4 linked regions of the Lytechinus pictus genome follow. The protein of the gene in region 2 purifies or fractionates together with the protein of the main gene of each other region. This does not show direct contact. Links are inferred from orthologs where the notes say so. Each region holds a gene or a part of one and is shown on either strand. Other genes may lie near its edges.

Evidence for each region.
Region 1: the proteins of vesicle-fusing ATPase-like (region 2) and syntaxin-6-like purify together in Homo sapiens (affinity purification with mass spectrometry; 3 studies listed by BioGRID and IntAct, with this or other methods). This does not show direct contact. The link is inferred for Lytechinus pictus from reciprocal best matches to the Homo sapiens genes NSF and STX6.
Region 3: the proteins of vesicle-fusing ATPase-like (region 2) and sec1 family domain-containing protein 1-like purify together in Homo sapiens (affinity purification with mass spectrometry; 3 studies listed by BioGRID and IntAct, with this or other methods). This does not show direct contact. The link is inferred for Lytechinus pictus from reciprocal best matches to the Homo sapiens genes NSF and SCFD1.
Region 4: the proteins of vesicle-fusing ATPase-like (region 2) and gamma-soluble NSF attachment protein-like purify together in Homo sapiens (affinity purification with mass spectrometry; 3 studies listed by BioGRID and IntAct, with this or other methods). This does not show direct contact. The link is inferred for Lytechinus pictus from reciprocal best matches to the Homo sapiens genes NSF and NAPG.

What each region holds. Positions count from the first base shown.
Region 1 is NC_087259.1:2,725,888-2,733,809, reverse strand, and holds the start of syntaxin-6-like, read left to right. Parts: upstream 1-4,273; 5' UTR 4,274-4,754; coding exon 4,755-4,789; intron 4,790-7,922. UniProt on the Homo sapiens protein: SNARE promoting movement of transport vesicles to target membranes. Targets endosomes to the trans-Golgi network, and may therefore function in retrograde trafficking.
Region 2 is NC_087245.1:20,381,803-20,390,278, reverse strand, and holds the start of vesicle-fusing ATPase-like, read right to left. Parts: upstream 3,560-8,476; 5' UTR 3,518-3,559; intron 3,502-3,517; exon of another isoform or gene 3,206-3,501; intron 2,258-3,205; 5' UTR 2,206-2,257; coding exon 2,197-2,205; intron 1,596-2,196; coding exon 1,507-1,595; intron 1-1,506. Other genes in the region: superoxide dismutase [Mn]-like, read left to right, coding at 5,749-6,054, 6,429-6,529, 8,361-8,476.
Region 3 is NC_087251.1:20,937,586-20,946,446, reverse strand, and holds the start of sec1 family domain-containing protein 1-like, read left to right. Parts: upstream 1-5,243; 5' UTR 5,244-5,291; coding exon 5,292-5,322; intron 5,323-7,680; coding exon 7,681-7,751; intron 7,752-8,576; coding exon 8,577-8,665; intron 8,666-8,861. UniProt on the Homo sapiens protein: Plays a role in SNARE-pin assembly and Golgi-to-ER retrograde transport via its interaction with COG4. Involved in vesicular transport between the endoplasmic reticulum and the Golgi.
Region 4 is NC_087246.1:25,045,995-25,054,111, forward strand, and holds the start of gamma-soluble NSF attachment protein-like, read right to left. Parts: upstream 3,546-8,117; 5' UTR 3,069-3,545; coding exon 3,010-3,068; intron 2,377-3,009; coding exon 2,309-2,376; intron 1-2,308. UniProt on the Homo sapiens protein: Required for vesicular transport between the endoplasmic reticulum and the Golgi apparatus.

The sequences.
Region 1 (7,922 bases), on a different chromosome or scaffold from region 2:
TGTTCTTATTCTTTGATTTTTCTGTTTTGACACAAGCCTACTTAATTTTCTAAATGTTTTATTTCCCCTTTAATGTGCGCGAAGCGTGAGCTAAAATTTATGATATACTGACCTGAAAGGGAAAGTTTAAATTCATTGTTAACCATGTAGGAAATTTGTGAATATTATGGATTTTCATAAACGTAAGGTTGCAATGCCACAGTGGCACGTATATACAAAGACTTTCAAAATGACGGGCAAAATGATATGAATATGTATGTATGTATTTATGTATATGTATGTGTGTGTGGGTGTATGTATGTGTGTATGTATGTATGTATGTATGTGCAGGGATGTATGTATATGTTCAGCCTTGTTTGAAATTGTGGTACATAAACCAGGTAAACCGTCTGTATCACGTTTGCTTGAATGACATATACTTCTATCACAGAAGGTGATATGATAAAAGTATGATAATAAGAGTACAGGATGTGATGGATGTATGAATGGATACAGATCGGGTAAAGTATGGATGAACTCCCCCCCCCCCCCTTGTCTGTTAAATCATCCGCTCCTGCATGGTATAAATAATATAATAATAATAATAATAATAACGATAATAATAATGAGAAGAAGAAGAAGAAGAAGAATAGGCATTTATATAGCGCCATCTGTCTAGAAATAATCTATTCCGAGGCGCATTGTTTACTATCATTATTATTATTATTATGATTAGCCCGGCTTTAGTTCGAGCTGCCTTTGAGCGCTCAGTGCATCAGTAGTAGGTCGATGATTCAAGGAACTAATCCTGTCGGGTACCCATTCACCTCACATGGGTCGAGTGCAGCACAACGTGGGTAAAATTCTTGCTGACAGAAAACACGCCAAGGATGGGATTTGAACCCACGTCCCTCTGATTGAAAAACAAGGGTTGTAACCATTAGACCACGGCGCCCCCTTGAAGAAACAAAATGATAATAAATCTAACATAGAGGTAAGATGTATCTCCTATCATAAAGTAATTCGGAATTTGAATTGTTTTCAATGATATGAATTATAATGCATATGAATAATATAAACAAAATTATACAAATTGAATAGTGGTTTGCATAAACACATTATTTCTTCCGAGCCATTTTTTTTCACGGAGTAAGATATATGATTTGGGTGAATAAATAATTTTATGTATAGTTTTGTTCGTAAAAATTCAATAATTTCATACATTATGAGAGGTAATGTGCATATATACAAAAAATATATGGTAGCATTTACCTAGGCCCATTTAACATTTTTACATTATCCTAATTTTATGCATATAAATAGTTCAATATCATGAAAAAAATATGTGTTTTTGGTACTAATTTGATTGAAATATGCAAATTAGGCAGTAATTCATGTATACAAATTGTTTTGTTTTTATCGTAAGTGGTTTTCTTTCTTGCATCCACCTTAGGGTCGAACCAAGTAATGTATTTGTATTTTATGAGTAAAATAAATTAGAAAGGCAAAAGGGGCCTAAGCTTTCGATCCTAGCAGAATCTTCGTCGGAGGCAAAATGACAAACATTTAAAGTGGAACAACCATAATATAGACCACAGACAAGCTACAGCAACACTAGAAATAAGGAGACAAAAGGGGCATTAGGTGAGTAGAGAAGACCAATCAGGTTAGTGAAGGGGGTGAAAGAAAAGGAGTAGGCAGACACAAAGGGAAGTTAGTGTAAGTAAGGCCAGTAAAAGACCTCAAGCCAAGAGGGATTAAGATAATGAGGCAGGCAACATCAAACAGGATCTGGAACAAAACAGTGATAGAGGGTATGAGGAAGAGATGAATAACAAGAGAATTAGTGAGAGGTGGGTCAAACAGGTTACAAAGAAAGGCATAGTAAACTGGTGTATAAGAATGGGGGAAAAAGGAAAAGAATGGGGAACAACTGATAATGTGCAAAAGACATATAAGTATATATGATAAAGCATAAACAAACTGAGAGAAGAAGGTAAGTGTAAATATGTATCTATAAGTGATATGTATATAAATATATCCAAAAAAGAAATGTATATGAAAAAATATATAAATACACATATGGTGTAACTGATATTGTAATCCGCTAGGTGTGACGGGAAAAAAACCTAAGACTATATAGTAGGGGAAAGAAAAACTGTATATGTGAAAAAGAGGAAGCAAATTGCCTAAAAAGGTAAAAGCAAATATAGAAGAGAGGGGGTGTATTATGAAGAAACCATAGTATACATGTAAATAAGCAAAAGTGGTAAATCTAAAAGAGGTGAGTGGAGAAAAAAAAAATTATAATAATTATTATATCGCCTGAATAAGGAAGGAGAAATTGGAGCTGAGCTGTATATGAGATATGGGAGGAATTAATTGTATTTTGTAGATCATGTACCTTTATATATCAAAAACGGTCAAATGCATTTATGGTAATTTGGGAGTGACATAGTAAGTTTATTTTTATGAATACTTTCTTTTAAGATTGATAAATTGATCAATTTGATATATTTCCATTATGATTTACTCCACATAAATAGTTCAGGATACGTGAAAATACTCTAAGTTGTGTAAAATAGGTACATGCAGGGAGACCCCCAAATATTTCTTCGCAATTTTGATTCCTTTCATCCTCAATGTCTTTGTGTCAAATTTTAGAGGTGTTTGGGTTCATCATATGCATGTATTAAAGATAAATAATAAATGTGCAAATAACTTAATTATTTGCATAAATACAGAGTATCTCATTGGATAAATCTTTTTCTGTTGACCCAAGGAACATTTCTGTCAAGCGGGGCATTTTTACTTTTAAAAAATGAAGCGTTCAACTTCTTAACAAGTCTACTAGGGGAAAAAAAGGAAAAAAGGGAGGAGAGAAGAAAACTTACAAGAAGAAAAGTAAGCAGAGGAAGAAAAGTGAACAAAGTAAGGGAGGAGAATTGGAAAACTTACATGTGATTGCTGATGTGGTTTACGGTACACCATGTGGAGTACCATAGAAGAAGAAAAGAAAAAGAAAAAAAAAGAAGAAATGGATAGGCGAGAAAGTGGAAATTTAAGAGTAGGGTAATCTTTCTTGAATGTAGTCCTGAAAAGGACTGTAAACCAGAAGAGATTGATGAGTTGAAACAGCATGAGTAGTAGGATGGATGAGGAGGTGCTGGCTTGAGTCGGCGAGTAGAGATGAAGAGCAGAAGCAGTAGAGAGACTCGACGTTTCGGGCAGGTTGACTGTCCGTCTTCAGGAGTGATTGTATAAAAATGACAATTTCGCGCCTCGCTCTCACATTGCCAATTGAATGAGATGTTAATCTGCTCAATATGATAACATGTAGCTTTAAATATCCCGTTTTAAAGTCAATATGCACTAATAACTCTGCTCGCGATTCGATTTCTTCATTATCTGTTTAAGAGAGATACGCATCATGTTCATGCTCACTAAAAAGTGCTGAAAAGAAAAAAATCTTTATCCAGCGCTACGCGCTCGCATGATTTTATTAGCTGAGATACGCATCCTCTCCATGAAATCCGGCAAACTGTCATTGGGTAGATGTACGGGGGGGGGCAGATGTCCGGGGGTAGATGTCCAGGGGGTAATTAAATGTCCGGGGGTAGATGTTCGGGGGTAGATGTCCGGGGAGTAGATGTCCTAGGGGGTACTTGTCCGGGGGGTGGATCGATGTCCTTGAGGTTCAATTTTTAGAGGGTGGATATCCGGGGGTAGATGTCCTGATACGGTAAGGAACAACTAAGACAAAAAGTAAACTGGGATAGCAGGATAGCCTATAATAGGAATTAAATAAAAGAGATTGACATAACTATTTATTTATTAATCATTTATTTGGCACTGTAAAAATTCTGAATTAAAAAAAATAGTCAGGGCATTCTATTACAATCTCTTTAATTCATATGTAAATGCATCACAATTTGGCTTGGCCGCCATGATGTATGATTTTTATCAAATAAACCATTTATCTATCTATCTATATATCGAATATGGCAAGCATACAATGTAATCAGAAAAATTAAAGGGTTAAACTTCATCAGAATTATTAAACCAATTAGTCCCTTTCTCAATATAAACTAATTTCTGGCCTCCACATATACGTCTAGTCTCTAGACTAAAATGCATTGAAAATGTAGAAATATGTTAAAAGGGGGATTTGAAAAAAAAACGGGTGTCCGGTTCAACCTATACGAAGAAGAATATCATCGAAAAAAAATGAAGTTTTTGTTTTGAATTGTGGCGTGGGGGAAAATCCCTCTCCTTGTGACGTCATCACTCATGCGTACAATCAAAGGTCAAGTCACAGATGTAGAACTGACGTTATTTCGGAGTCGTGTCATCAACAAATATTAGGGATTTAGGGGAATTTTCACCGAGGAGAGCAATCGTTCAAGTATTCAATACGTTAATTTACATACTTATTTTGAAAATTATGGATATTTCTACATCATCTACCTTTGTTTGAACCTTGTTTACACATATTCGTGACGAGAAATTTGAAGCATTGCTTTACCAATAGGCAATACCGGTACGGTACCTGCGGCTACACACGGCAAGTCTACGGGAGAGCGTAGGCGCGACCTCCGAGCGACACCGGTCAACGTGGTCTTATCTGCTACTGTAGCTCAGCTCAGCCCTTCTTCATTACTTTTTTAAGATCTGAATTCTAACGACGTACAACGTTCCGTCAGAATTTAGACTTAGAGGCTCCCAACTAGAACTTCACTTTTTTTTCAGTTGTGTTGTGTTGAACTGAAGGAGTCATGTCACTTGAAGATCCTTTCTTCGTTGTGAAAGAGTGAGTACCGTAAGGCCAGGGTATAGACTATAGTCACGTATTGTATTACCGGACACTATTATGATTCCGGACGCGCGTATTACTGCGTTCTAAAACAAATTCGTACCGTAAGACTTCCGCAATTCAATTTCACAGAGCAATACATAGAACAAGATTGCAAAAACAAGGCGAAAAATCCAACTTTTACCTAATTATCTCTAAAAATGACAGAAAATGCTTAAAATATCATAGGGCCTATAACATAGACTTTAGTTTTGTATTAACAATTGATGTATTTTCTAACGGAAATATGGGCCTGATTTGCCGAATTTCAATCTCGTCCACTCCTTCGATCGAATGATGAGGTGTGGTGTATTGTGCCGGGTGATCGTCGATGGCTAGTTCTCAAGGTACCCCCGTGCGCGAGGTTTACCGTGAGTAGAGCCGTCAATCGGCAGCGCATCGATAGAACTTGATGAGCGTCACGATACGAACGCGAGCATATTATTATTGGAAAGTGCCATGGAACATGCAGCTAACAAGACAAAATAAAATAAGTTGTCAAACACGAATTTATTACCAACATCTGCTCAGATTCGATATAAAAAAGCAAATAATACTTAGAATTTACTCATGATATGATATAAGAAGAAAAAAATCACACAAATTTGCTCTTACATCATTATAATCAAGGATATCTTTACCCGTCCGGCGCGCGTCCGGAATCATGATGTAATTTGTCGCGCACGAAAATAATTGTTTTTCGTGGAGGGGTATGCGGCAACTGCGACGCAATGAAAATGGTTGGTAAATATAAAATAATTTTATCATATTCATAATTTTCATAATATTTGGAATAGCAAGTGTGATTTTTTCTTGATTGTATTTCCTCTAGTTGTCATTTTTAAAGCACTGAAATAAAGGTGTCCGGCAATAGGATACACTGCCATACTAGTATTCAACCCGTTTGGAGAGTTTCCTCAAATATATAGAAATATAGAATTTACCTGAATTTCAGACCCGTCTTATTTCCAAGAGCAAATGCTGGTTATTCTTTTTCCGTTATTTTTTTCTTCAACCAGTTGACTGTGTGCGCGGGCGATCGAATTATACGGCGACGGATTTTAGTACTAGTATTCAACCCGTCGGCACTAGTATTCAACCTAGCGATGAAAGATGGCCCTGTCTCTCAATCTGCCCTTGTCCCATCCGACTATGGACTAGACCATTTGAGATGAGACCAAACAGGGAGTTAATCAAAGCCAGAGACTTACATAGATCTAGATCTAATTTAGCAATCTAAACCCTTTTGAGATTTGCTATCAATCCTCACTAGGTTGAATACTAGTACCATTCAGTGCAAAAGGCCATCGCCGCATAATTCGATCCTCCGCGCATACAGTCGACAGATTGATAAAGAAAATACCGACAACAGATTACCCTGGACATAACAAAGGTATGAAATTAAGATAAATTCCCTATTTCTAAATATTTTGGGGAATATGTCAAAATCTTTGAATTATGCCGGGTTGAATACTAGTACCCATACGGTAGTGCCAGTGGAACAATTTGTCAAATCACAAGACCCATATCAAGACCTAGTTCATGTTAGTTTTTTCTCCTCTTACACAGACGCCGGTTCGCGATCGTGCAGCCGCCATTAGGGGGTAAACAATTCAAAATCCCCCGACAGGGAACATCGATTTTTGTCTTTATTTCATAATTAAAAAGATATAAAAGAACTGGGCCAAAATAAAGATTATTATCCTATTTGGCCTGAAATGCACCAAAACAGGAAAAAAATTAACTTAAAAGGGGAAAAAACAGTGACTTACTTTGACTGTCGTGCAACTCCACTCAATGGTTTTTCCGAACTTATGATACATAGACATATGGCCATTGAGTCCCTGTACAGATCGAGTTAGAACTATGGTCTCTGTAATTGGTGAGTGGAGCCAACGGAGTTCAGCGGAACAACCAATAAAACAGAGACCGAAGCTTTTGGTCCACATCATCATCAGTGTACGGAAGAAGGCAAGCCTGTCGAGACTTCCGGGCATTCCTTCTGATAGTGCTTGTTCAAACTTGACTATTTAAAATGACTTATAAATTACATGCATGCATGTTGCGTGGAGGGTGGACGGATATTTTTTAAGGGAGGATTTGATGATGATCCCTATTTGCAGTATTTTATCCTCTCTTTTGAAAAAAAAATACTGCTGGTTTAAAAAAAAACACTCGGCCTATATCGTAATCGTAATTCATATTTCTATATTACTTTAGAAAATAGACCTAGAATACCTTTTTTCATTCAGCATGTAATAAAAGTAGAAAGTACCTTAAAGTTGTCATCCATAAGCATTTTCATCTTAGACTTATGTCCGTTCCTAGATTTATTTTATCTTGACAGATAAAATAAAATATTGTGTCTCCGTTAAAATCAGTGAGATAGAATACCCTTATAATCTCTCCAAATTGGTATTCTGAGAACAATTTTATCTTTGTAAGACAAACCTATTCTTGAAGCAATGTCCAATGAGAAAAGTGGTTTTTACTCTCTCATCTCGTTCAACCTGAAAAGGAGTGAGATTGCATCAATTGCAGGACTGATCAATTGATTGACTTCCAATATGCTTGCGCTATACACTAGCGCATCTTTACAGAGATTACTTACCAAAAAGTGACGAAACTCTCATTTTTTTGTTGATGTCAATATCACATTTCAAAGACAGTATTGTAATAGTCAAGAAAAGTCTTATGAAATAATTCCCAATTCTGCAGGAATAATGTTAAGGTTTTGCTCTCAATAACAATATAATTTTTCTTAAATTTTCATTTTAACATTTGGAGCTAATTCAACTAAAATATTGCTGAAATGAATTTTGCAGAGATAAAATAGGCCCTACCTTAATTTAAGGTTATTTTATCTTTTCTTCAAAGTGACATGGGCTCACGGCATTGCAGTGGTTATACTACATGTAGTACATGATGGATTTGTCCGCACAGGCACTGCTCTGTCATGTATCATCTTTAGATATATAAAATTTTATCGCAGAGATAAAATGTCATCTCAGAATACCAATTTCATCATAAGAGATAAAAAAAGTCTTTAAACATAAAATTGCCTCAGAATGCCACCCCTGACTTTTTTCTT
Region 2 (8,476 bases):
AATTTATACAAATTATAAGAATCTTCCTTTTGGACACTTCAAGACCTGGCAAAACATGGAAATTGGAATGTAATTTACTGCAGTAAATAAACCACTGCCGTGAATCAGGAAGTTATTTTTACCAAATACAAAAAGGTCAGAAAAAAAAATTATTTTCTTCTTAAATATGTTTACTTAATTCTTCTAAGATTTATTTCCAAAGGATAAAGATTATTTCTTTGTAGAATAAAGAAGATTATGGTAATTCAATGGTAAATTTATCATGGAATGAAAACTTGAAAAGGGAAAGAGTAATAAAAATAATTGAATGAGAAAAAATAAAACAAAATAAATGAAGAATAATTAACATTATGTATTGCCTTCTATTATAACCAATTACAATTACAACTGATTAAAATTCAATTGATTACGATTATATTATAGAGCATTTTTCCATGCATTTTACCCTCTGAATAATAACCAACTCTTTATCATGAAACAGTGTTTTTTTTATAAAAACATTACTAAATTAAAAGTAATAATGCTGATGATATATAGAAACTTTGTAAAGGGGATCTTTTATTAAAACTTTACACAATACATTTTCTGTTTTTAGTAAAGGTCAAATATTGATATTAAATATTCTGTATGTATCTTGGATGTTCCTACAGCTTTGTCTTTGGAGAAACATGGTGTCTTGACTGAGGCTGAACTGTGGTCTCTTTGAAGAAGACACACCTGATTTTTAAGATTTTATTTTAAAGAGGGAAAAGGGTGCAATGTATTTACCGGAAAATATGGTACATCTTCCTTAGCGTTTAAAGCAAAGTATCACTTCACAACAGGTAAAAATGTTTAAAGTTACTTTCTTATCATCACTGTTGTTTTATATTTCAACCATTATATTGCCATCACATTAAATGTCATGTGATGTAAACATATTGAAGAGTATTAGAAAGCTATGAATACAAATGTTGGATTATCAAGGAAATTGGGTAACAGACCTATATGTAAATGCAATTCCCCAAAGACAAATGACTTTCTTTATGCTGATGAAAGGGTACTTTTATTACAGCTTAGGAGGCATTATGTAACTTTTCTGTATGCATATGTTATTTCAGTTCTCTTTTCCCCAGTAAACATATCCACTTTCTACAAGCTTACTCTGTATGTAAATGTTCAAGTACATACTGTATATTTGATTCCTCTTCCTTAACCTAATATCAAAAGAAGCCCTATATGTATGTCTAGCTCAAAACTGCCAATTGATATAAAAAGACCTTTAGAGGTGCGAAAGACAAGTTTTTACATGATAGCTAAAAAAATTTGTTGCAAAAAGAGTAAAATTCAAATTCCTATGCCTATCTCTGCTTAAAATTATAATAAGGCTTCATGTAGGCCTACATGTATGCTACCGATTTCAAAAGCATTATGACTCTGGCCAATGTTCCAGGCCAATATTTAAGCTAAGCATTAATTCAAAGAAAACAGTTTGGAAATGTTGAAAAGAAAAAGAAAAATACTTACTCAACACGTGCATAAGCATCTCTGTCTGATACAACCGCTCTATTTGTCAAAGAAAGCTGGTCCGTTGGACAACGGACTGCTTTCAGCTCCTGCAAGAAATAAGGAAAAGAAATCAATCACACCTTCTTAACAAAAGCAAATGAAATATGAAATAGCTATTTACTTCAGCAATTATTCTTACTTGAAACATGAATATTGCTCCGCTGCATACATGTATGCTTGCAATAAGGCTTCAATGAGTGTAAGCCCCACCCCCCCCAAAAAAAAAAATATATATATATATCTATATATGTATATCGTATAAATAAATATATATAGAAATAAAGTTTAAAAATTAATTAAATAAGTAAAAACAATTGGTAAAAAAAATTTATCAAAAAATGAACATAAATAGTCAAAATAATGATAAAAATAAATAAATAATAACACTAATAATTCTGTCATATTAAAACTAATAAAATACAAAAGTTCAAGTGGGGATATGACATCATCAATTTGCTCATGGAATATTCATGAAGACAAGTCTACATGTATAATTATTTCACCGGAATAATGTAAAACTTTTAAAATGTCATAACTTTGTTATTCCTTGTCCAATTTTGATAAAATTTTCAATATTATGTTAGTCTGATTTTCTTTATCTGTTCAAATCATATTCTCAGCCTGGAGTATCCCTTTAAGTTTACTCACCCTTGACATTTTGGTCTTACTCTGATGCAACCTTTTTTTAGATTAGCCACTTCAATCTACACTGCAAATGAGACAAACAATTTATCAAATTTATAGCTGGAATCATAAACAAAGGGGTGTTTACAAAAATTATCTTTCACGATTAAACTGTAAACAGTAGTAAAACTAAAAGAGAGGCAGGAGTTGACAGCCCCGCCATACCATGTAGATCTATGTTTAATGCTCCAGCAGATCTAAATCTATTTAGCCTAACAGCAATATCATACAATGCACATAAGGGAAAATATGCTTCTTACCAGAACCACACACAAAATTTTGTTTAAATTTTCACCTCAAACTTTTTTGATCGACTCACACAGGTGTAGCCAGGCGGCTTCTTGAGAGTAAATATCATTTACTAACGTAGGCTTACTCTAAACGAAGCCAGGGAGTCCTCCCTATTCATCTGCGTGTACCGCAAAAAACCCTGAAACTTTCGCCCCCGAGATTTCTACTTTCCTTCTAAAAGATCTAGCTCTAAATCACGTACATGGGATAAAACTTCATTTCCGACATTTCTACGCTCTTGTTATTTTTAAACAAGAATTCATCAAAAAAATGAAAAAATATTGTGAAAAGATGGAAGAGACTTGCCCGATGTTTACGCCGCCATCTTGTTTCTTATTGTACTTCCCCAACGTTACGGACGCGAGCGTCATGTAACGTTGGGGAGGTACACGCAGATGAATAGGGAGGACTCCCTGGCTTCGTTTAGAGTAAGCCTACGTTAGTAAATGATTTTTACTCTCAAGAAGCCGCCTGGCTACACAGGTGTAGGCGCAGCCAGCCCAGACATCTTTTTTTCACACACCTCTTTCTCTTATTCAAAAATTTAAAATTTGAAATTGAAGAAGTGTTTTGCAAGTGCTATTATTATACTAACGTAAAAACGATCTGGCCTGTACCATATACCATAATTAGAAATTACCACGTCTCTCAGTCTAAAAAAAATCTTGAATGAGTCACTCACGCACTCGACGGCCGACAGCACATCACAGTGGACGTGGACCAAGCTACGTGGACAGCGCAGCGGGACTCGGTCTCGGAGCGGAGTCTTGGGGACACAAGTTCTAGCACCGTACCGTAAGTCGTAACGTAAGCGACGATTGTGAAATCTTGCTCGCTTCCAAAAGTGGATTACAAATTTATTATCCGACTTCAATTCATGGATTAACTTCCTTATTTGAAAAGTAATAAATATCGTTCGACTCATGCATCTACTACATAACCACATCATTATAAATACAGCTAATTTTGAAATAAAATGGGGCGTTTTACTTACCTCGAAACGGAGATGAGAATATTTTGTACGGTGGCGTGCGATTGAAAATCCAAAACAAAATAAAATAGGGGGAGGGGCCGGGGATTCGGGTTGAGGGGCGGTCGAACGCACAATACCTTGGTCACATTTGCTCTACGGCGGCCGTACGGTGAGTCGAAACAGCCGTTTTATTAATTTTAATTCAAACCACCTATATGTAGTTGGTACAAAAAAAATTAAAACGGCTGTTTTCGACTCGCCGTACGGCCGCCGTAGAGCAAATGTGACCAAGGTATAAATGACAATTTATAATTAAATCTCATGGACTTTTTGATAAATCCACTACAGCCATAGTGTGGTTGGTGACCATTCAGTCACTTGGTTTAGATTTACTTCTTAAAGATTTTAATGTAAATCATCAGGAGTTGAGCAAAATATTTAGGATTCATATCAAAATCCAGTGGATTTATTTTAGATACCTCTAATCAGGGAGTTGAATTTAGCTCAGAAATAAAGAATTGAAATTATATTGTGATCATTTAGTAATAAGTCGCAGAACGATTTTAAAAGGGGGTGGAAGGACCCGGAAGGACATGCACACTATCTCATTTTGAATACTATTTCCACGTTTTGGTAAGCCTACATTATAGCCCCATGTTTACTGAAAGGTGGCTTGAGACGCCGCCCTATATAGCTATAAATGTTGTGCAGGGTGAGCTCCGCAGTTTCTCCGCTTCATAGGAAGAATTTAAGTAGAGTTTTAAGCTTATTTCATTCATTTTCCTAGTATTTGCACCCAGTGGCAAATCAAGGGGGATGGGGCATTTCCGGCTCGTGCCCCATCCCCCTTTTGAGAGTCAAAGTTAACATATTTAATGGGAAGTAAGGACATTTTCTTCTTCTTTGTCTTCTTCTTCTTAATTCTTCTTCTTCTTTCTTTCTTTTTTTGGGGGGCTTGTCAAATTTTACACGAGACACTATGACCTTCATTTTTAGGGACCTTGGAAAAATGCTCCCCTCCCCCTTGGAAAATTCTGCATCTGCCCCTGTTTGCACCCCTTCTGAAAGGGGAAGAAGGGTACAGCTTTAGTGTTTTTCCTTCTCTTTTTTCAAAAGAATATAAACCTAAATGAGACATTCTTCTCTCTCTTCAAACAAAATTTTCTTTCGCGCTCTGTGCAGGAAAATCAGTAGGCCTAACTTTGCCTTTCCCTTTGTTTTCCACACTCAATTTTCTACATACATTACATTGGTGTAAATTATCATAAAAAGTATCTTTTTAATTGTATCGACACAAAATTTCTGCTCTTCTGGTCGAAGCTTTGAAACACTACCGCATTCGAGTCCCAATGTGCTATTTCTTCCGCTTTTTAAGCAAGCAATATTGGGCAAGTATCTGCTCAAAGTGACATACATGAAATCCCCGGCTGTGCTATATACCGGCAAAACTGTAGGTATATATATGTATATAAATATATATAGTATATACGATGAAACTTTTTTCCATATCGCGGCACATCAATCCCATGTCTTATTTTGCCCCATCGATTTGAAATTTTGAATATTTATTTATAAATATTTATGATTTATGAAATTTTTCTAATCAGGTATTTTTTTAAAACAAATCACAGAGGTTCACGCGTGTTTCGTGTGTCAGTATAGAAAAGGAAAGATTCCTCTCCGAGCATCACCCCTTTCCCATTTTTAGCTCTTTTCTTCGTAAATCGAGTTTAATAATCTAAGAAAAATGAAACTATGAAATGAATTAGAGCAGGTCAATGTTTCAGAAAAACTTCTCATCTTCAACGCTATACCCATCGAGACCCCGTTTTGCAACTCTGTGGCTAAATATTTTGCTATCGAATCTGATCTGACCAAGATGCATTTTATACCACTAAATGAATGCCTTTTTCTGATTTTTTTTTTAAAACCCTCCCTGCACCCCCCCCCCCCTCGCGTATACTTACCGCCCCTATCCTGGCTATATAGGCGGTTTTATTTACAAACATAAATACACAAACAGCAGAAAGTCCTCCCTCGATCTATCATTTCGCTTATTTTCTTCATTTATACAAAATTTATACAAATGAAACTATATTTTTCAAGCAACAATAAAGGTACAAGCAGATGATTGACTTCCAGGGGGCATATTTAATTTACGCTTTGGTAAGATTTTTTTTCCAAGAAAACCTGCCCCAATCTAATTCGGATTTCACTTGTTATCAATACAGCAGTTTTGTGCATGTTGACCTATGCGTGGAAGAAAACATGCAATTTTTGCACTTTCATTCAACACAATGGCGTCTGCTTGCTACGTAGAAAGCAAAATGTTGGCAGTTTTCTTCATTTTATATATGTGCTCAAGCTGTTATTGCATTTCTTATCCATTTGAGTGTATTGCAGAAATGAGATCAGAGTATGATTTGCCAGATTTGCCTTTTGATTACGAAGATTTAGAACCTTACATCGACAGTGCAACTTTGAAAGTGCACCATCGCGGCCACCACGCAGGCTACACACGCAAACTCAATGCAGCATTACAACTGTGGAGAACTGAGGTGAATACAACAATCTCAATAAATAACAGAGAGTCTCGTGTAGAGAGTTTTAATTCGTGCGTATGGGCCTATGAGTGTATATAGCTTATTTGGGGGAAATGAAAAATATCTGTATTTTGCTTTTACTACTACTATAGTATTCCACAGATGCAGTTATCAATCATGACTGCACAGTTGCAGTTTTTAGAATGATCTATCTACCCAAGTCTGGAAATAATTTTTTTTTAACTAGATGGGGTTCCCCTTTAAAGGTTTAGTCAAGGTTAACTTAATTAGGCCTAATATTAATACTGGATTCCCATCTTTATAAACCCAGGACAGATCTACATGTATTTGAAAGAATTTATTTGTTTCAAATGTTCTTTAAATATTAGGAGCCAGACAGCTATGTAGCAACATCCATTCTCAACCTGTTGAAGCATCTGGATGACATTCCTCCCAAATATCAACGCAACATTAGAAACAATGGTGGTGGGTAAGTTAAACCTACTTATCACTAAATATCATGTCTTGTTTTTATTCAGCTCTAACCGCTTCGGTGAATAAAAAGACAGAACAGAAAAAATTGTTCAAACCTATCTAGGAGTGAGTTGTTCATTAGGGTTCAATCACTGGCGGATCCAAGGGGGGGGGGGCAAAGCCGGCTCGTGTAATGTTTGTAATGTAAAAATGCTGTTAAAACAGAAGTGTGCCCCCCCCCCTTTTGAAAATGAAGACCTTTTTTCTATTATTTTGCTTAATTGTCAAACTTTTTTGTGGACGAAATTTCTTTTTGGTTAATTTTTGGAACATCCTGGATCTGTCCCTGGGTTCAATTATGTAGATCATAATCTAAATTGATGGTGATGAGAATAATGATGATGATGATGATGATCATAATTAGGGTGTCTGGAGAAAAAAATTATTTTTCTTATTTCAAGAAAATATCACATTTTCTTTGTGAATTTGAAGAGAAATGACCTTCAGACTGACAGAAATGTAACATTTTTGAAAAATATCCAATTATTGGCTGCAAAAAAGAAGAATGAAATTAGGTAAATTTTCAGCATTTCTCTGCCATAGACTGTGTAGTTAAGAAATGGACACACACAAATCCAAATTTTTAGCTTCCGAGAGCTGTTATAAATTCATTATTAATGCCATAAACTTGTCCATAAAGAGTCCAATAGGATTTTTTATGCTCTATCTGATGGTACAATTTTTATAAAGATTTGGAAACCAGATCACAATGAAAAATTGCGACAAAGTGAAAAAAATTGTGCAAAACAGAAACTTCATTTTCCCATAGAAAACGCATGGAGAAATGGCAATCTCAACACACACAAAAATAAGGGTTTGCAATTTATCTCTAAATCCTTATTTAAAATGATCATATAAACTTGTCCTTACTGTCAAAAGAAGCCCCTGAATTTTCTCTTTCCATACATGCCAAACACAAGATAATAATCAATTCAGATCACATTTTTCTAGTAGCCTGAACTTCCCCGAAAAAATGTGCCATATTTTCCCCTAAATCAGCCTGTTTTATGCTGACACTTTTCAGTGTGGCTTCAGACACCCTATCATAATGATGATCATGATGGTGATGGTAATGGTAACAATGATGATGATCATGATGAATTGATAATGAATTATATATAGTTTTGCTGGTTCACAATAAATAGGGCATATTTTATGAAAATGATACTGGTCGCAGCTATATTAAATAGAAAATTTGAATTTTGAATTAATAAAATAACTTAGAATTAAGATAATGTTTATGTAACAGTAAGGTTAAAAAATCTATTAAGTACGAGAACAGACAAACACCACTTGGTCAGCTAACATGCTGACAAAGGCATGAGTCAGCATGTTTGCTGACTCATATCATGCAGAGACTCATAAGGCATAAGTCTCCATAGAATGGCTCCTTATTCCCCCCCCCCCCACCCATCTCATTTCTCGTTTTTCTATATATCATCTCAGTCTATTTGCCCATGGTTTCCTGTGAAAAATGTCATGTAATTTTGGTATCTGAATTTGGCATCTCTGAATTGGTCACATACACCCCTGCTATTGTAATATGGAGTGCCTTCCAGTCATTATGATGGGCTATCCCACCGCTGCCACCACTTAAAATAAACTCAAGTTATATGACTTTGATTTTATTAAAACAAAGTTCATTGAGCAAAGCGCAATCTTCTCAAATACCTGATGCTAGGTGGGGTCAGGCATTACAACACCAGTGGTGCTACAACAAAAGGTAGAACATGATTCTTATGCGTATTATGATGCTGATCAATACTCATTAATTTTATCGTTTGCAGGTTCGTGAATCACAACATTTACTGGTCAACGATGGCCGCCAACAGGGACAATGACATCCCCATGCCCTCTGGAGATCTGCTAAGTGAGATAAATGCAACATTTGGAAGCTTCCAAG
Region 3 (8,861 bases), on a different chromosome or scaffold from region 2:
TGGGGTAGTGGTTTTCACTCTTGGGTCATACCTCACCGCCATGGACTCCGACATCTTAAAGATGTTTGCACAGGCTTTTGAACGATTACCCCAGAGGGTAATATGGCAGCTCAGAGACAGGGCTGACATCATAAATTGCCTGGAAATGTCAAAATCATGCTATGGCTACCACAAAATGATTTACTAGGTAAAAATTTACAACTATATATAGACTGGTGTTTGCCGATCGAAAGAGAGATCAATAATGGAGAAAATGTGCCCCCCCCCCCAAAAAAAAAATAATAATAATTATATTTTCATTTTAAACAGGTCAAAAGTTTTGCTCGCTCGCTTCGCCTTCTCGGGACTTGTTGTGCCCCCTCAAATTTTTGGCTCACTGAGCTACTGGGAAAGATGTTGGACATCTGAAAAAATATTTCAAAGCCATATGTCAGCAGTGCCACCCAGCTAATATAAATGCATATGTTTATTCACCAATTATTGATTTCCAGTGGTACACCTCAAAAAAATGGATCCCCAGGCATGCAAGCTCTATAGCTTGTGCCCCTTCCAAAATCTGTCCCCCCGGGATAAGCGCTGGGGTTGCCCCAACACCTAATCGTATTAAAAAAACACTAAATACGACAGTACTAGTGAGTATGTTTCGTGGTAGGATGTAATGCTTTTATATGACATGGATTAATAAAATCATATTGAGATCTAATATTTTATGCCCATCCCCATTCTCTTGCAATCAGGTAACCCAAAGACACGGGCCTTCATGTACCAAGGAGGCAACAATGGTTTCTACAAGGCCGTCTACCATGCTGTACCCATGGTCGTCATCCCTTTCTACGTTGACCAACACGATGTTGCCGCCAGGGTGACCCCTAGGGGACTGGGAAAGGTCTTGGACAAGTTCAGTCTCAGTGTCGATATCATCCACTCCGCTTTGACTGACGTCATTACAAATGATAGGTAGAAGTAGTACTATATATTTTAATTTGTCAAATACTTGGCCTTTACTCGATATGTTTACTGCTTGTTCGAAAGTCATTATCCTAACAGTGCCTTTTCAATTAAAAATGCAAAATGCTAAATAGTTAATATGCTAACTTTTGGAGATGTTATAGTGGAAATCACACTGAAATATAAGTTGGATTAATTACTTGATGACTGTCATGGCTGTTGGATCCCGAGTTTGGTAGTCTTGATTAATTCCCGTTTTCGATAAACACATATATAAACTTTTTTGGCTATATTCCAAGTTTTGGACTAAAAACAATGGGAATCAATGTGTTTAGTTGGCTCTTGGCTTTATACGAACCGAAAATAATGTGGCCTACAATATATTTGATATAGGCTTAACCGGGGCTTAGCATGTTTAAGGGTGACGGATCATGAATGATGGTTAGCCCAAATACAATTCCTTGAAGATTCATGAAAACATTTTGTGAAAATGAGTGCCTTCCAGGTCACAATTCTTTACAGTTAAACGGATGTTTAAATAATTCCCAATGTATGTGATATATTACATGTATCTGTCATATTCCTTTGGATATACATGCACATCATCATGATCATATGCAGATGACCAAACAATACCACCTTTTTAGATATGAGAATCTCTCTCTTGATTTAAATGTAAACGAATTGAAACAGAAGAAAAGATGTCTTAAATCATAATGAAATATTATAACAAATTACATCATAATCTCATGAAGTTGATTCTTATCGTTTTATTTATAATTATTATTTGCAGCGGTACGGCAAAAATATTCAGCGGACTTCGGCAATCTTTAGGGATCACGACATTACCCCACCCGACACCGGTATATTCTGGCTAGAACATGTGATGAAATATGGAGGCTCCTATATGCGTACACCAATAAATGAGCTCAATATCATTCAATACTATTTGATTGATGTTATCCTGATTTTCATATTTTCTACGGCTTTGGTCATATAGGGCTTCTTGTTTGCTCGCGCCGTTTACTGATCCGATGCATTTGTAAAAGGAGAAAAGAGAAAGTTGAGTGACATTAATTTGTTTCTCGCTTTGAAGACCTTGGCACTGATCGGTGGGATCAAGGGCGGATCCAGGATTTTCAAAGGGTGGGGCCACATCATGTTTCCTAGGTAAAGGTGATCCTCACTTGTGTATGAAGACCATATTCTCATTCGAAATATATGCTGTGACTCTCAAAGGGGCCGGGGCACACTTGTGTATGAACAACATATTCACATTAAAATATTGACTATGTGGCTCTCAGAGGGGGAGGGGGGCTGGGCAAGGGCCGAATTTCCACCCCCCCCCCCCTGGATCCGCCACTGGGTGAGATGTCGAATTGACAGTAATTATGATTAGGCCCTATAAACCAATAGATTTCACTCGTATGAAATAAATCTGGGAAAATATGAAAAACGCACAAATATTGATTCGTGTCGATGGTCTTCGAAGCAACATTGCATTTGCCCCCCCCCCCCCAGAAAAATCGTATGTGACAGTATGGTGATCCCCCTCCAAAATCAAGTTTTTTAATTAACACAATAATTATTATAAAGGGTAATGTTTCAAAGTGGTTGCTATTGTGTGAATGCCATAATTATGTTGATTAACACCATATAGGTTGTTATTTGTAGTCGTAACTTACCTTGTATATATTAGGATTGATTTATGTTTTCTTTTATATATGTATTTGTTTGTACATTGTATTTTGTATTTTTAAACGTGTCCACTGGACCCCTCAGTAGAACAGCCTGTGGCTGAAGAGGGCCATCCAGCCCACGAGTGGAAAATAAATAAATAGATAAATAAAAATAACATCATACAAAGCATTTCCCTGTAGTTTATATGACTATGAAATCAAATCCATTTTTTCACATCTTCAATCCATATGCCTGCATTTTCACAGTAAAAGTCTTCTTGCATCGGATAGAATATAAAAAGGGTAGGCCTATACAATATCGATTCGCCACCTTCGTTTTTCTTTTCTTGTTAAAATGATTGGAATATTTACACTTTATAATAATACAGGCCTGTAATGTTATATGATATTTTTATCCCACGGGAATAAAAACAACAAAAAAATGATACGATTTTCTTTCTTCAGTATGATTATATGATATTTCCATGAAGGCATGAATACAGTCTTAAAAATAATTTAAACAACACTGTTTACTACGTGAATCGCACAGTAGTACGTTGTTTAACAAGTGCTTAAAATCTTAAACAATCAAACCTATATTATTGATGATTAAATATTTGAATTTAAACTGTTGTTTAAGATTTTAAACACTTGTTTAAAATGTTTAAACAACTACTGTGCGATTCACATTGTAAACAGAGATGTTTAAATTGTTTACGTACTTAATTTGTACCAGACAATGCTTGTTACTATTCTAATATATGATTGTTAAAAAATAGATGATCTTTTGTACCTTATATCATAAATCGTTTTGTTTAATAATAAAGAAAGAGATAATCCCATTATCTCCATTACTTGACAGGGAATTCTTGAAAATTGTAGTTTTGACTGTTAACACATGATTTACTAATTGTGACGATTTTTTTGCCAGTGGAGAATCAAATATATTTTCTGAGCAGCACTATGGGCGTAATTATTTAATTGGTTGGGTTGCAAACACATTCAGAGGTAATATCTTCCAGTGCCTGTAGGGGCGGGGCGGCATAGGCCTACAGTGGGCAGGGGCGCGAACCACTTCTTGCACTAGGCCTACGGGTTTTTTTTTCTAAAGTGAGAAGAAGAAAACAGATCGAGAGAAGAAGGAAGAAAGGAGAATAAGAGCATTAAGAAACTGAGAGAGGAGTAGGTCAGAAAAAATGGTCGTCGTGCCTGCCCCCTCTCCCTATTAAAATATCCTTGCGTCACCCCTGATCCTTCATTGCTACATAATGAACCAACTGCGAAGTAGGTATGCCTATATGTACAGGGGCGGATCCAGGATTTTCCAAAAGGGGGTAGGGCAAATTTTTCGGAGGAAAAATAATCAACCACAAATTAAGTATATTTCGTACCCGAAAAAAAGGTCTTCAATTTCAAAAGAGGGCACACCTATGTTTTAATGGCATTTTCACATTACAAATTCTAATTTTGCTTCTCAAGGCCGCGCCTGATGTATAGGCCTATTGTTGTCTGATCCGACATCGGCGGAACCTAATTGAGTCATATTCGAAAGCAACCGTGTACCGGGCACTGAGCACTATGTATACCGTTGATACTAGAAATTAAGTTTTAGCCCCGATTCCCCATTCACCCATACGGTACAAGACGGGGTCGGTGCCCATCAAAAACCCCAAGTATCACTGCAAAACTAAAGTTTACTTCTTGAAAGATCTTTTGGCAAAAATAATTAGAATTAATCGCTCCGATTACTTCTAAGCTACATAAAAGCGGCATATAGAACATGATTGGAATTTATCATCCAAGGGTGACATATCAGGTTGCGGAATCGCGATCTCGATTGCAGTCGTCACCGCCCATGTGGCATTAGCCCCCGGTGCCCCCATAAATCCAGACGGCATATCACTGATCTTCCCGCCGCCCCCCTCGGTTCAAAAAATGTTGGTGCCATGTGCACCCGGTGGTCTAATGAAGGTTTATTCGAAACTCATATTTCCCATAGACTTATGGGGGCTGTATTAGGCCCTATAGGATTTATATAATCAATTCCTTGAATGCGCCTGTAGCCAGCTGAAGCTAGCTAGCCGGGATATATATATATGCCTATTGTGCGCCATTGATAGGCAAATAGATAATCGGCGTTTCATTAATGCTCTATATTATAATTATTAATAATTCGCATAAACTGAAGAAATATACCTGATTCAAGAAGAATACTGAAATGTTAGCATATGAGTCACTTCACAGAACTTATATACCGGTATACCCCACCCTCTTTTATCATCAACTTTAATTCTTCTGGACATGGAGTTTTGAAATATGACTTTTATATCAAATTACAAGTATTCTGCAAATAGCAAAAAAAATGAATTGATTTTCAAAAACTGTTTGTGTAATTCTTTGCTCAAATTTCTTTGAAATTAATGAACCTTGTAAACGTGCTTGCTTAGGCCTTTAGCCCGATCTTCCGTCGATGTGTTTATACATGTATTCCACTTTTGTAGAGTAATAATTAGGCCTTAACTCACGTTGTCTTACCCTGAGGAAACATGGTAAAACCAGTGTAAAACTTGTTTGCTTTATTTATCTTTTTTTCTCTCACGTTATGTTTTAGACACTACCATTAATAGTCGCCAACTTCATTATTAAAAATAATTTTTTGACGACATGGCAGCGTCCATCAGAGAAAAACAGATTGGTAAGTTGAAAAAATAAATTCTTTGTAAGTTTTTCTAAACATTTTATGTGGATAATCATAGCATAATTTTATGATAGGAACAAATATGTTCAGATGAACATAGCTTTGTTCACCATGTTTTAACGTTAGCCAATTTGACAAGACATTACCGGACGAGTTGAGTGACTGTTGTCCCATGTATTATTTTTCGTGTGAGTTGTGACGTGGCTATTCTCGACTCTCGGCGCGGCATATTTGTTAAATTGTTTCTCAGACTCAGTCTCGGCCTCGTAATTAAGAAGGCTATTTTTTTTTCATACATTCTGTTTTCACAATTCATTTGGAGAAATATTTAGACCATAAATCACGCTAGTCCCGTGAGTATGGTCAAATACACGGTAAGCCCCTGGGCTCCCGCCCGCGCAGCGGGCGGGAGTTCCCTGGGTTACTTTCTTTACTTTCTTACTTTTTCTGCCTCCAGCTGCAGCTCTGGCATCTGCTCCGACCTTGCTCTTGCCTTGCTTGGTTTGGCCTTGGGCTTGGAGAATGTTGTAGAAAAGTGCACAGACGTCGACTTCGGCACCTCATGATCTTTTAACTTTAAGTAGGGTGTCTGAAGCCACACTGAAAAGTGTCAGCATAAAACAGGCTGATTTAGGGGAAAATATGGCACATTTTTTCGGGGAAGTTCAGGCTACTAGAAAAATGTGATCTGAATTGATTATCAACTTGTGTTTGGCATGTATGGAAAGAGAAAATTCAGGGGCTTCTTTTGACAGAAAGGACAAGTTTATAGGATCATTTTAAATAAGGATTTAGAGATAAATTGCAAACCCTTATTTTTGTGTGTGTGTGTTTTGTGTGTGTGACAGAAAGGACAAGTTTATAGGATCATTTTAAATAAGGATTTAGAGATAAATTGCAAACCCTTATTTTTGTGTGTGTTGAGATTGCCATTTCTCCATGCGTTTTCTATGGGAAAATGAAATTTCTGTTTTGCACAATTTTTTTCACTTTGTCGCAATTTTTCATTGTGATCTGGTTTCCAAATCTTTATAAAAATCATACCATCAGATAGAGCATAAAAAATCCTATTGGACTCTTTATGGACAAGTTTTTGGCATTAATAATAAATTTCAAACAGCTCTCGGAAGCTAAAAATTTGGATTTGTGTGTGTCCATTTCTTAACTACACAGTCTATGGCAGAGAAATGCTGAAAAATGACCTAATTTCATTCTTATTTTTTGCAGCCAATAATTGGATTTTTTTCAAAAATGTTACATTTCTGTCAGTCTGAACGTCATTTCTCTTCAAATTCACAAAGAAAATGTGATATTTTCTTGAAATAAGAAAAATAATTTTTTTCTCCAGACACCCTACTTTAAGAATTGAATTTTGTTTTGTGTTTGTTTTCTTGAATTGAGGTTCACTTAACTCTGTATCGGTAGGCCTACTGTGTCTGTAGCTTATTATTATACTGTTTTGTAACAAGAAATCTAATTTATTTCAATTGTCTAATTTTTGTAAGTTAAAATGAATAGTAGGTCTATGGCTATTTTGTGCTTTTTTTTAGTTTAAATTTACACTTATTTCAACTCTCTCTCTTTCTTTTCGAGTTTATTACTTTGATTCTACTCAATTTTCTCCTCATAATAGCAATCAACAAACATATAAACATACAATATAATACACAATATAGGTAAAATTTTGCTTTAAAAAAAGAATAGCATTTTTGGTCATAAGAGAAAAGCTCTCAACTAAGTAATGTACAGTCCTATGTAAATATATGCTTTAAAAAAACTTTATACATAGCAGTCTTTAAAAATTGTGGAGCAAATTGCGATGCAATACCAGGAAAATTATTCCCTGCAATAAAATTTGTAAAGAACATGAGTGTAGGCAGTGGCAAGAAAGGACGAACCTTATAAACGCCAACCCAAGATACTTAACATAATGGTATAAATTGAAATAACAGAAATTATTTCCAGTAAAAATAAGACAACTAAAAGCCGAACAAACCCTAGACAAACTATAATACCAACAAGAGCTTATATATCAATGCAAATAATTCTGACCAAGTAAACAAGTTTTATATATTTCTCTTTTAAAACATTTAGTGATTTACTTTAAAACAAATTTAAGTTGGAATCAAATTCCAACTGTAAGACTTATGGAATGCTAGTAGAGCACATCCCAGTGGATTTTGTAAGAATTTGGTCATGAATAATAATGCTAAATTGCTTATGCAGCTAAAAATTTATGTTTAGATAAATGATTTTCAATTTGTTACAAATAGCAGTACCATATTATAAAACTTTTCATGTATGAAGCGAGGTGAATTAAAAATGTTAATTTATTATTATTTATTTTTGTACCAGCTGCTTTGAAGCGAATGCTGAATCTGAATGCAGTTCCGACAAAAGCTTCACTTGCAGAACCAGCATGGAAGGTAAAACAAAATATTTAATGAGTATTGCTTTTGACCCACACCTACAAATAATCATCCTCTAGTATACAAATAATGAATGTTTATGAGTGCAATGGACAGAATTTCTTATGAGGTGAAAGATGAAATGATCCATTTACGCCTCACTGAATGAAGTATTCTGTCCATTGCACAAATGATAAGAGCATTCATTATTTGGTCTATATGACACCTAAAAACAGATTCTTTTTCATATGAAATTTATGAATGCAAAATATGCTCACGCAGTGCAAGCTTGGTCTGTTGATTGTCGCGTACATACAACATGTGTGCTGCAAACACGAGTGATTTATTTGTGGTGCCTGCAGTCTGGGTGCACGCGTGCAACTGACAAAATTGTATAGATCCTAAATTGCATGATGAATAGATCCAAAGTTGCATGGATGATGATGTCATTGTAAATGGGCTGAATGACCAATATCAAACAACCAATCAAATGACAATGATCTATCTAGGTGTCATATAAATCTAAATATTTAAAAAGTGGTTGTTACCAGTAGTTCTTGCTGGTTGTTGTTGTTTTTTTTTTTTTAAGTGATATAAATATAAATAATATAAATAATGAAAAATCCCCTCTTTGCACCCAAAAGTATATCTCTAAGTAAATACAATAATGAAGTACCTTCTGTTCTGATTGTTTATATTTTATTTGATCATTTCATCATCATATTGTATTCTTCTTCCAATCTCTTCTGATCCACTTATTATTTCTTATCCTCATGCCTGTGAACATCATCATGATGGTCTACTAAATGGTATCAACATACAACTTTACCAATGTGTTTACAGGTTCTTGTATATGATCGCTTTGGCCAAGATGTTATATCTCCTCTTCTGTCAGTAAAGGAGCTCAGAGATATGGGAGTAACACTTCACTTGTGAGTTCATATATTTTTGATATTCAGTTGTTTTAGACATCACAGAGAATTACGAATTAACATTGACTACATGTATGTTTCTTGTTGCCAAGTAATGCATTAAGGCAAATTACCAAAAGTCAGTTCCAGCTGTTTCAGCATGAATTTACCTATACAAATGTGTTAATGCCTTTCACATTAACTTTTCTGCATTCCC
Region 4 (8,117 bases), on a different chromosome or scaffold from region 2:
GTAATGCATTTAGATTTCATGTCTTGTCTTGTCTTTCCGTTAATGCCCACAATCATTATATTGATTATTATGGCATATGAACGTCAAGTCTCAAGATTGACTTGACCTGAATTTTGCCGGAATCGGCAGGTGCAATACACCGGTTGAACACCCTATTCTTTGACAAATAGTGTATTGGTTTTAACGTGCATAGGTTGTGACTCTCCTATACACGGGACCAACATTTGCGTCCCCCCACTTTTTTCCAAAACTGTGTACAAAAACGTAAAAATGACCATAGGATTGTGATTTTTTGCATAGTCAGCCCCCAACTTTTGGCTCAGCCCCCCCCCCCACTTTGAAAACCGTTCTGCGGCCCCTGCATATGGTAACAGTAACGATAAATTCAGTTCTACATGTATATACCTAGATCTATTGCATATCATCTACCATTTTCTTGAGGTGCTTCCAAATCCAAAGGTACTTGGATAGAATGGTTAATTACATAAAAGAAGAGGCAGAGAAAAGAATAGATTCCAAATACCATCAAGAGCTAGCCAATACTAGAGAATCAATGGATCCTGCATCCAGAACTGAACCTTATGGGCAATTCCACAGGTTGGTGGACATGAGCTTAAAAATTCAAATTCAATATTTTCTTGAATTTTTTAATACTTTAAGTCCTTCATGCATGATAGTTCCAGGAACAAGAAATAAAAAGTTTATTTTCATATGTATACTTTGGAAAAAAATTGTCAAAACTTGTGTCTTCCATTCTGTACCAAAATACAAGAAAAATAGTGAAAAATGAAATATACCTTATTACCATTTTGTTATTGCAACAACATACCACTTTATATATTTCTGAAGTTTAGAAGAGTCAAATTACCTAAAATACACAACAGCTTTTCAAGTAAATTTGTAGTACTCATTCAAAAATGAATATTGCAACCTGCTCAGGTGATGTAACGTGAGTAACCGAAAAAACTGACTTTGTTTTCTGAGAGAAAAATTCTTCACAGTTAATTGGTGGGATTTTAAATTCTCTTCCTTCAAACAATCTTTGACACAGTGATGACTATCAAAATCATTAAAAAGTACAATTTTTTATAAAAATGATGAAGAAAAACTGTAACGTGAGTAACTTTGTAACGTGAGTAACCATCATGTAATGTGAGTAACCACTAAAAATTATGCAGTTGGGTAACATTTTCTGTGGGATGTCAAGTTTTAAGTCTCATGGTGAGTTGTGAAGTTATTTTTGATTAATTAAAAGCAAAATGAGGGTACACCTCTTTGATGTGACTCTTTGTTCATCAAAATATCAGTGGTCATACAATCACACAAAAAATTAAATGTTAGTAGAAGTATTCACAATGCGAGAGTGCATTAGTAAGACTTGGTTTCGATTAACCAAACTTTAAAGAGTGTTCGAACAACACATTGAATGTCCTTACCTAACCCTATCTAGGCTGGGGTATTTTGGGAGTTAATATGGCCCCGGGGGGGGGGGGGGGGGGGGGGGTGGGTGGGGCCTCCTAGGCCCCCCTTGAGATCTCGGCCATTGGCCGCACGATCATGCCGAAAATTTGCACGCAGGTTGTCTTGGACATAATCTACAATACTATACAGTAATTTATTTCATGCAAATTGGTATTAAGCAATTATGCTAATTTATGCATAATTAGTAAGCAAAATCATACTTTTCCCTCTTACTCCCTAATAAAGCTCCAATTGTTCCAATTTTTTGTATAAAATCTCTTTTTGATGTTCCTAGCAATGAATTTTACACACATTATTGAATTTTTAATGACATTTGTGTTGTTAACCATACATGGACAAAATGTAACATGAGTAACCGTAACGTGAGTAACCACTTTATCTGCACCCCAAGTAAAAACCATGTGTTCTTTATTTTTTTGATTATGTACAAAGTTTGTCTCCCTAATGTACTTCTTTGAAATGGATATAATCAACTTTCATAAAAGCCTTGTATGAGGAGACTTTTCACTTATGTCGACTTTTCATTTTATGCATGTCCAAATCATGTAACGTGAGTAACCGACACATTCCAAAGATTTGCCAGGAGCATAATAAAATTTCCCAAGTTTTTTTTTATACAAAGGATAGTCAGACTGTGTACTTTGTTGTGATATTAAGGAGATGTTTAGTTCCTATCAATAATAATGGATTTATAGCTCCAAGTATGAGTCAAGGTGTCTCCAAATGTAACGTGAGTAACCGTGGAATAGCCCTTATCATATACCGTACCATAATCTTACACTGATGATCATTTTTTTATAAACTATAATTTCATTATTATACTTACCAGCTTGTTCATATTCATGAGCTGCACTGCCAAAGTCTGGTTTCCATTTGAAGAATGACGTCTTCAAGCTGACGTGAAAATCAAAATGAATCACAACAAAAAGAAAACATGGTAATTTATGAATTAAAAGAATAGAATAAATCAACAAAGTGATCTGAAAGTTGAAACTCTGAAAGGAGTTGATTCACAGAAAGAGAAAGAACACTGAACTTCTGAAGCATGCATCACATTTACTTAGTTAGACTAGAGTAGTCTAGATTGATGCTGAAAAATTATTTGAACTGCAAGTCAAAAATTACTTAATAATAATATGCTCCAAGGGGCCGCACCGAGCCTTTGAACTCAAACCCAGCCAGGCCGCCTCGGGCAAACATTAGATACTATCGCAGAGCCAGAGTGCATCCGCTCGTCTACTTTATTTAATAACTTCGAGCTTCGCAAAGCGTAGGCAGCGATCCTCAATCACGGCCACGGGGAACTAGCCGTGGCAGGAAGTTACACACACGGCCAGCAAGCAGGGTCTGCCGTACGGTATCAAGAGAAGCAAGAGCAAATGAATGAAAATGCTGGTCTTCGAAGTCACGGATTGACGACAATTTTGCATTTATTGATACATCCAACAACATAAATACACATCAAGATTCTGCACTGATAACGGATCAGTAGCTATCAAATTAAAGAGACAAAAGACACACAATTACCTCTTTTCGGCCGCCTCAATATGCTCCTTCGCCTCGGAGATCCTTCTTGCATCCGCCATGATTGTAATGATTGTTTTCGTTAGTCTGAGGTCGAGACCGATTATTTATAGAGAAAGGTGATTAATATTTGGGATGACACCGAGCAAGCATCCTATAGTTGTTGTTTTACGAGCGGTGCATATCCCCATCGATTCGCTGACTAATCATGTGGAACTGATGACGTGGAGGGAGGTAACGACTGGAGCTGAAATATCATCAGTTCGATGTCAGACGGATGCCTTCCAGCTCATCATTACTAAATCAACATCACGATCCTTGATCCTTAGGCCTTGTATGGATTAGTTTTCTACCGAGGCCTCACCGTACCGAGGTGCTACAAGGATAATGAGGATGATTCTTTTATGCTAATCAGACAATATGTTAATAATAAACGCCAAATCCTCTGTGCGAAATGCATACAGTGCAAGAGAGAGAACTACCGGTACCCTATGTAAATATACACAACAACAAAAGTAAGTCCCCCTTGAACAATCATCAATAATTTCCGAACCAGTGCGAGTTTTTGATATATTTTTACATGAGCGTGTAGGAAATTTTATAAGCTACCATCTGAGTAAATGTTGTGGACATATTTTACGTCATGCTTCAGTGAGCACCGTCAGAAGGCAAAAATGTCACTTTTCGAAAGTCACAAGCCAAATATCATGACTTTGATTCCATTTTAATGGAACTGATTCCGCATTCTCATCATGAAAAATAGTCAGAAGGCTTGTAAAAGGTACTTTCTAAAAGACGATACAACTTTTTTGGCTAAATTTCACGGTTGAATAAACACAAGTCCAAATTTGCTGTAATTTGAGTTTTTACACATTTTTATCAATAAAAATGATAGAATATGATGACAATAATTTTTGGGAAGAGTATCTTCATCAATATTCATCATTTCACGATTCAATGAACATTTATTGTAAACAAAAAATACGATTTTCAAATATCATAGGCAAGTATTGTTTCATTTTGGGAATTGAAACTGATCTTTTATCAACTTGTTCGTTATGTTCATGACCAATTAACATGCTTCAATGATTCAAAGGCGCTTAATTAAACATTCACGCTTGAATGAACATGTGGAATGTGATTAGCTCTTTTTTACGTTATTGGAAAAAATGCAATTTGTAACTATGGATATCTGTCACAAACCTCCTTGCATGGTTCATTTGATTTGATTTTTATGAAAATCCCGATGTTTAATGCATCAGTGAGCACACGATATTCGAAAATTATGCAAATGAGAAGAAAGTTCAAGGCCTTGGCCCCACTCTGTGCCGTATCGAATTGTTATTTTGGTGTGCGCACCTTTTGGATAGCCGTTACTCTGAAGCCATGTGCGAAGTTTCATGAAATAACTGTCGGCAGAAGTAACAAAAACCGTCCATGAAACAAACCCTTATTTCATATTTGTTAAAATTTTGACTTCATCTCTCATAGACTTGTGTACATTATGGGTGCATATGTTTAAGAATAAGTAACCCCTTATTCAATATGGTGGAACTTTTTTTCAAGGCTGTCTTTAGCAATGTCATTTGGCAGCAATGTTTATCAACCTATGGGCAGAATTCTGTGCAAAAATGAAATCGATTTGTTCATTTATGGATGAGTGAGCAGTGAGCACGCATCAAAGTGGGAAAATTGGTATTTTCAATGTCACAGACTCATTTTAAAGGGTAATAAGGTGAATATTGGGGGCAAATTCGGTTTCAAATGTGACTTTAATTGCTGTTGTTTTTGTCATCAATAATTTCTATCACCACACACTTTCCGAACTTCTAACATTTTCATGGTTGAGCGAGCACATTCGAAAACTTAGGAATGAATACTCTTTATACTGCATAAATGTATTCTTTTCCTAACAATTTCCCATGATGAGTTTAATTTATGGACAAATAAGGGGTGGATCCAGAATTTAAAAATGGGGGAGGGGCCTATAATTGGGGGAGCCACCAACATTTTCAAATGTTAATATGACCTAACAAGTTGTAGAGGATACTACCAAAACCCCATATGATGATACGTCACAATACAGGGGCCACGGAACGGTTTTCAAAGTATGGGGGAGGGACTTGGGGAGGGACGTAGCCAAAAGTGTGGGGGGGGGGGGGGCTGGCCATGCAAAAAACACAATCGTATGGCCATTTTTACATTTTTTTTACATGCGTTTGGAAAAAAGTGGGGGGTCCCCAGCCCCCCCCCCCCTTACCCCGCTTCTGCGGCCCCTACAATATTGTGCTCACTCAACCATGAACATACGATATCAAAATTGTGTGTGGAGTGGCTAAATGATGGATAGTAAAATGGCATTAACACCATAAAATGCACCTAACAATAACTTTTGCCCAACTTTGTATTTGCAAAATCTGAAAAACGACTCTTGTGACTTTCAAAAATGGTCATTTTTAATTCAATCTTTAATTACTCATGCATGACTCAACTGATCAATCTCATTTTCCCCTAGGAGTTGCTTAATGAGTGTAGAAAACCACCTATGAAATATCATATCTCAAAATAATTCCGTTCAAAAGTTACAGCAATTTGATTTAGGGGGGACTACTTTTTTTGTTGTGTATATAAAGAGGGATAAAGATCTTCTGGTTTAACAGAACAAAGCAGGCCTACAACATAACACAAACTATGGACATACATTTCAGGAAAATCATGCATGACAATTCATAAAAAATAGCTATTTCACTTGCTCTCTCTCATTTCAAAACTTAAGTTAGGATAAATATAAAATTCATTCATACCCTGACCCATTCCACTTCAAATTTTTACTTTGTTTATCACAAATCCACAGCCACAACATCATATCCGGAGGATATTGGTTTTTTTTTTTTTTTTTTTTTTTTTTTTTTTTTTTTTTGGGGGGGGTATTGATCAGGACTATAGTATTGATCATTGTCCACCACAGGTCATTCATCTTTGCTATCACTGGCATGCATGCCCCATCCACCCCCCCCCCCCAAAAAAAAAAAGTTTCACGACCAGGACAAAAATTATAAAAAGACTCAAGAAAGAAAATGACATGACGATGATAAGATCACTTTCTGAATATTAAGTTTTATCACAAAATCATTTTCATTTTAAAGAGATTTTCATTTTAAGAGATTTTCATTTTAAAGAGACTGAAAAAAAAATGCTCGCTTACTTCGCTCGCTCTTGATTTTTACAAAATTTTGTCACACCTTGTGCCACCTCATATTTTGTGGTTCATATCGCTAATCATTGCACTATACGGAGATACGCTCCACGTTCCGATGATAAAAAAAAAGACCTTTTCACCCCCTCCCTTGCGCGCATCATTAGTGAGACACATATCCTCTAAATAAATTTATTTATTTATCTATTTATTTATTTATTCATATTCCATAAATTCTCAAAGTACATTTCATAATAAATCATTTACAGTAGAAATATATCACCTGCATGTGCAGTTTTGAAACGTACAAAATGAAAACAAGTGGAGGTCCTATAACGGAAGGGGGAAGGGGGGGGGAGGAAATGAACAACTAGGGGAAAGAGGAAAAGATCCCGGGGAAAAGAATGAAAATGGGGAAAGGAGAGAAGACGTGAAGAGAGAGAGAAAAAAAAGTAATAAAAGAGCTGGAGGGGGAGGCGCCAATTTTATATACGACCGGGGGGCAGCAAATTTACCTGAAATGAGGGGACACCTAATGACCGCAAACTCTGGGGGTGCCAAATTTATGTTCGATCCTTGGGGCACCAATTTGAGGTTTGACCTGGGCGCGCCAAATTTATGTTTCAGAATTGGGGACGCCAAACTCGTGTTTTTTAGGTTCTCCAGGTCAGATTGGAATTAAGTAGATACCTATCCTATATGAATGGTGTTCCGTTGGTAGGTCTGAATCTGAACAAATTTAGCTCGCGCTTCGCGCTCTCATCAATTGTTGGTTATCTATCATGTTTATATTTACAAAAAGTACCAAGAATGTCCAGTTTTCAGGCCGGAATATCAAAACTTTTAAGCTCGAGCTTATTCCATTAATTTCTCAAAAAAATGCTTTTCAGGTCTGATCGACAACATTCGGCTATATAGCCCTGCACGCTCGCATTTTGATAGGCGTACCTCTCTGTCTATAACTACAATCCTGTTTTCATGACAGTTTTATCACAAATTTTGGCTCGCGCTTCGCCCTCGCATTGATTGTTTGAATGATTTGACCCATGCATCCTGATCATGATTTAAAAAAGTGCCTAAAAATAATCCTGTTTTCAGACCTGAATATAATAAAATTCATCCTTTTCATGATTTCCTGTAAACTAGTCTTTAAATTGTCCCTTTTTCAGATCGGAATATCATTTTTTCAGCTCGTGCTCCGCGCTCACATAATTTAGGTTGTATAAGATACCCATCATTTTCATGATAGCAAATGTGTTTAGAATGCCCCGTTTCTAGGTCTAAATTAAAAAAAAGGAAAGAAAACAGCTCGCGCTTCTCGCTCGCGTTGTTTATTTAAAAACACAGCTGGTTCTATAGAGTTTCAGATAAGAATATCAACAATTTTAGCACACGTTTCGAATTCGCATAATTCATTTAGGAAAATAGGCCTATACCCATCCTAATCATGTGTTTTATAGGTCTAAATCTGAAAAAAAAATTAGCTCGTGCTTCGCACTCGTTGGTTACATGAATTATCTTATCCTGTTTATGTTTACAAAAAGTGCCTATATGATTTATAATGTCCAGTTTTCATATCACAATTTTTAAAACGCGCTTAGCACTCGCATTATTAATTGTTGAGATATGTATCGTCTCTAAGAGTTACTGCAAAACAGTCTTTAAAAGGTTTTTTTTCAGGCCAGTATATTAAAAAAATCAGCTCGCGCTTTGCGTTCAAATCATTTAATTATGGATTATGAGATACATTTACCTTGTTTATATTTTTAAGAATAAAGCTAAGAAATCACTATATACTACGACTAAGTAACACCTTAAAAAGAATAAAAATAAAAAATAAATCAGCTTTTAGAGGCCGATAGGGGAATTTTTTTATGAAAACAAGGCGCCCCCCTATTGGTGAAAGCTGGATCCG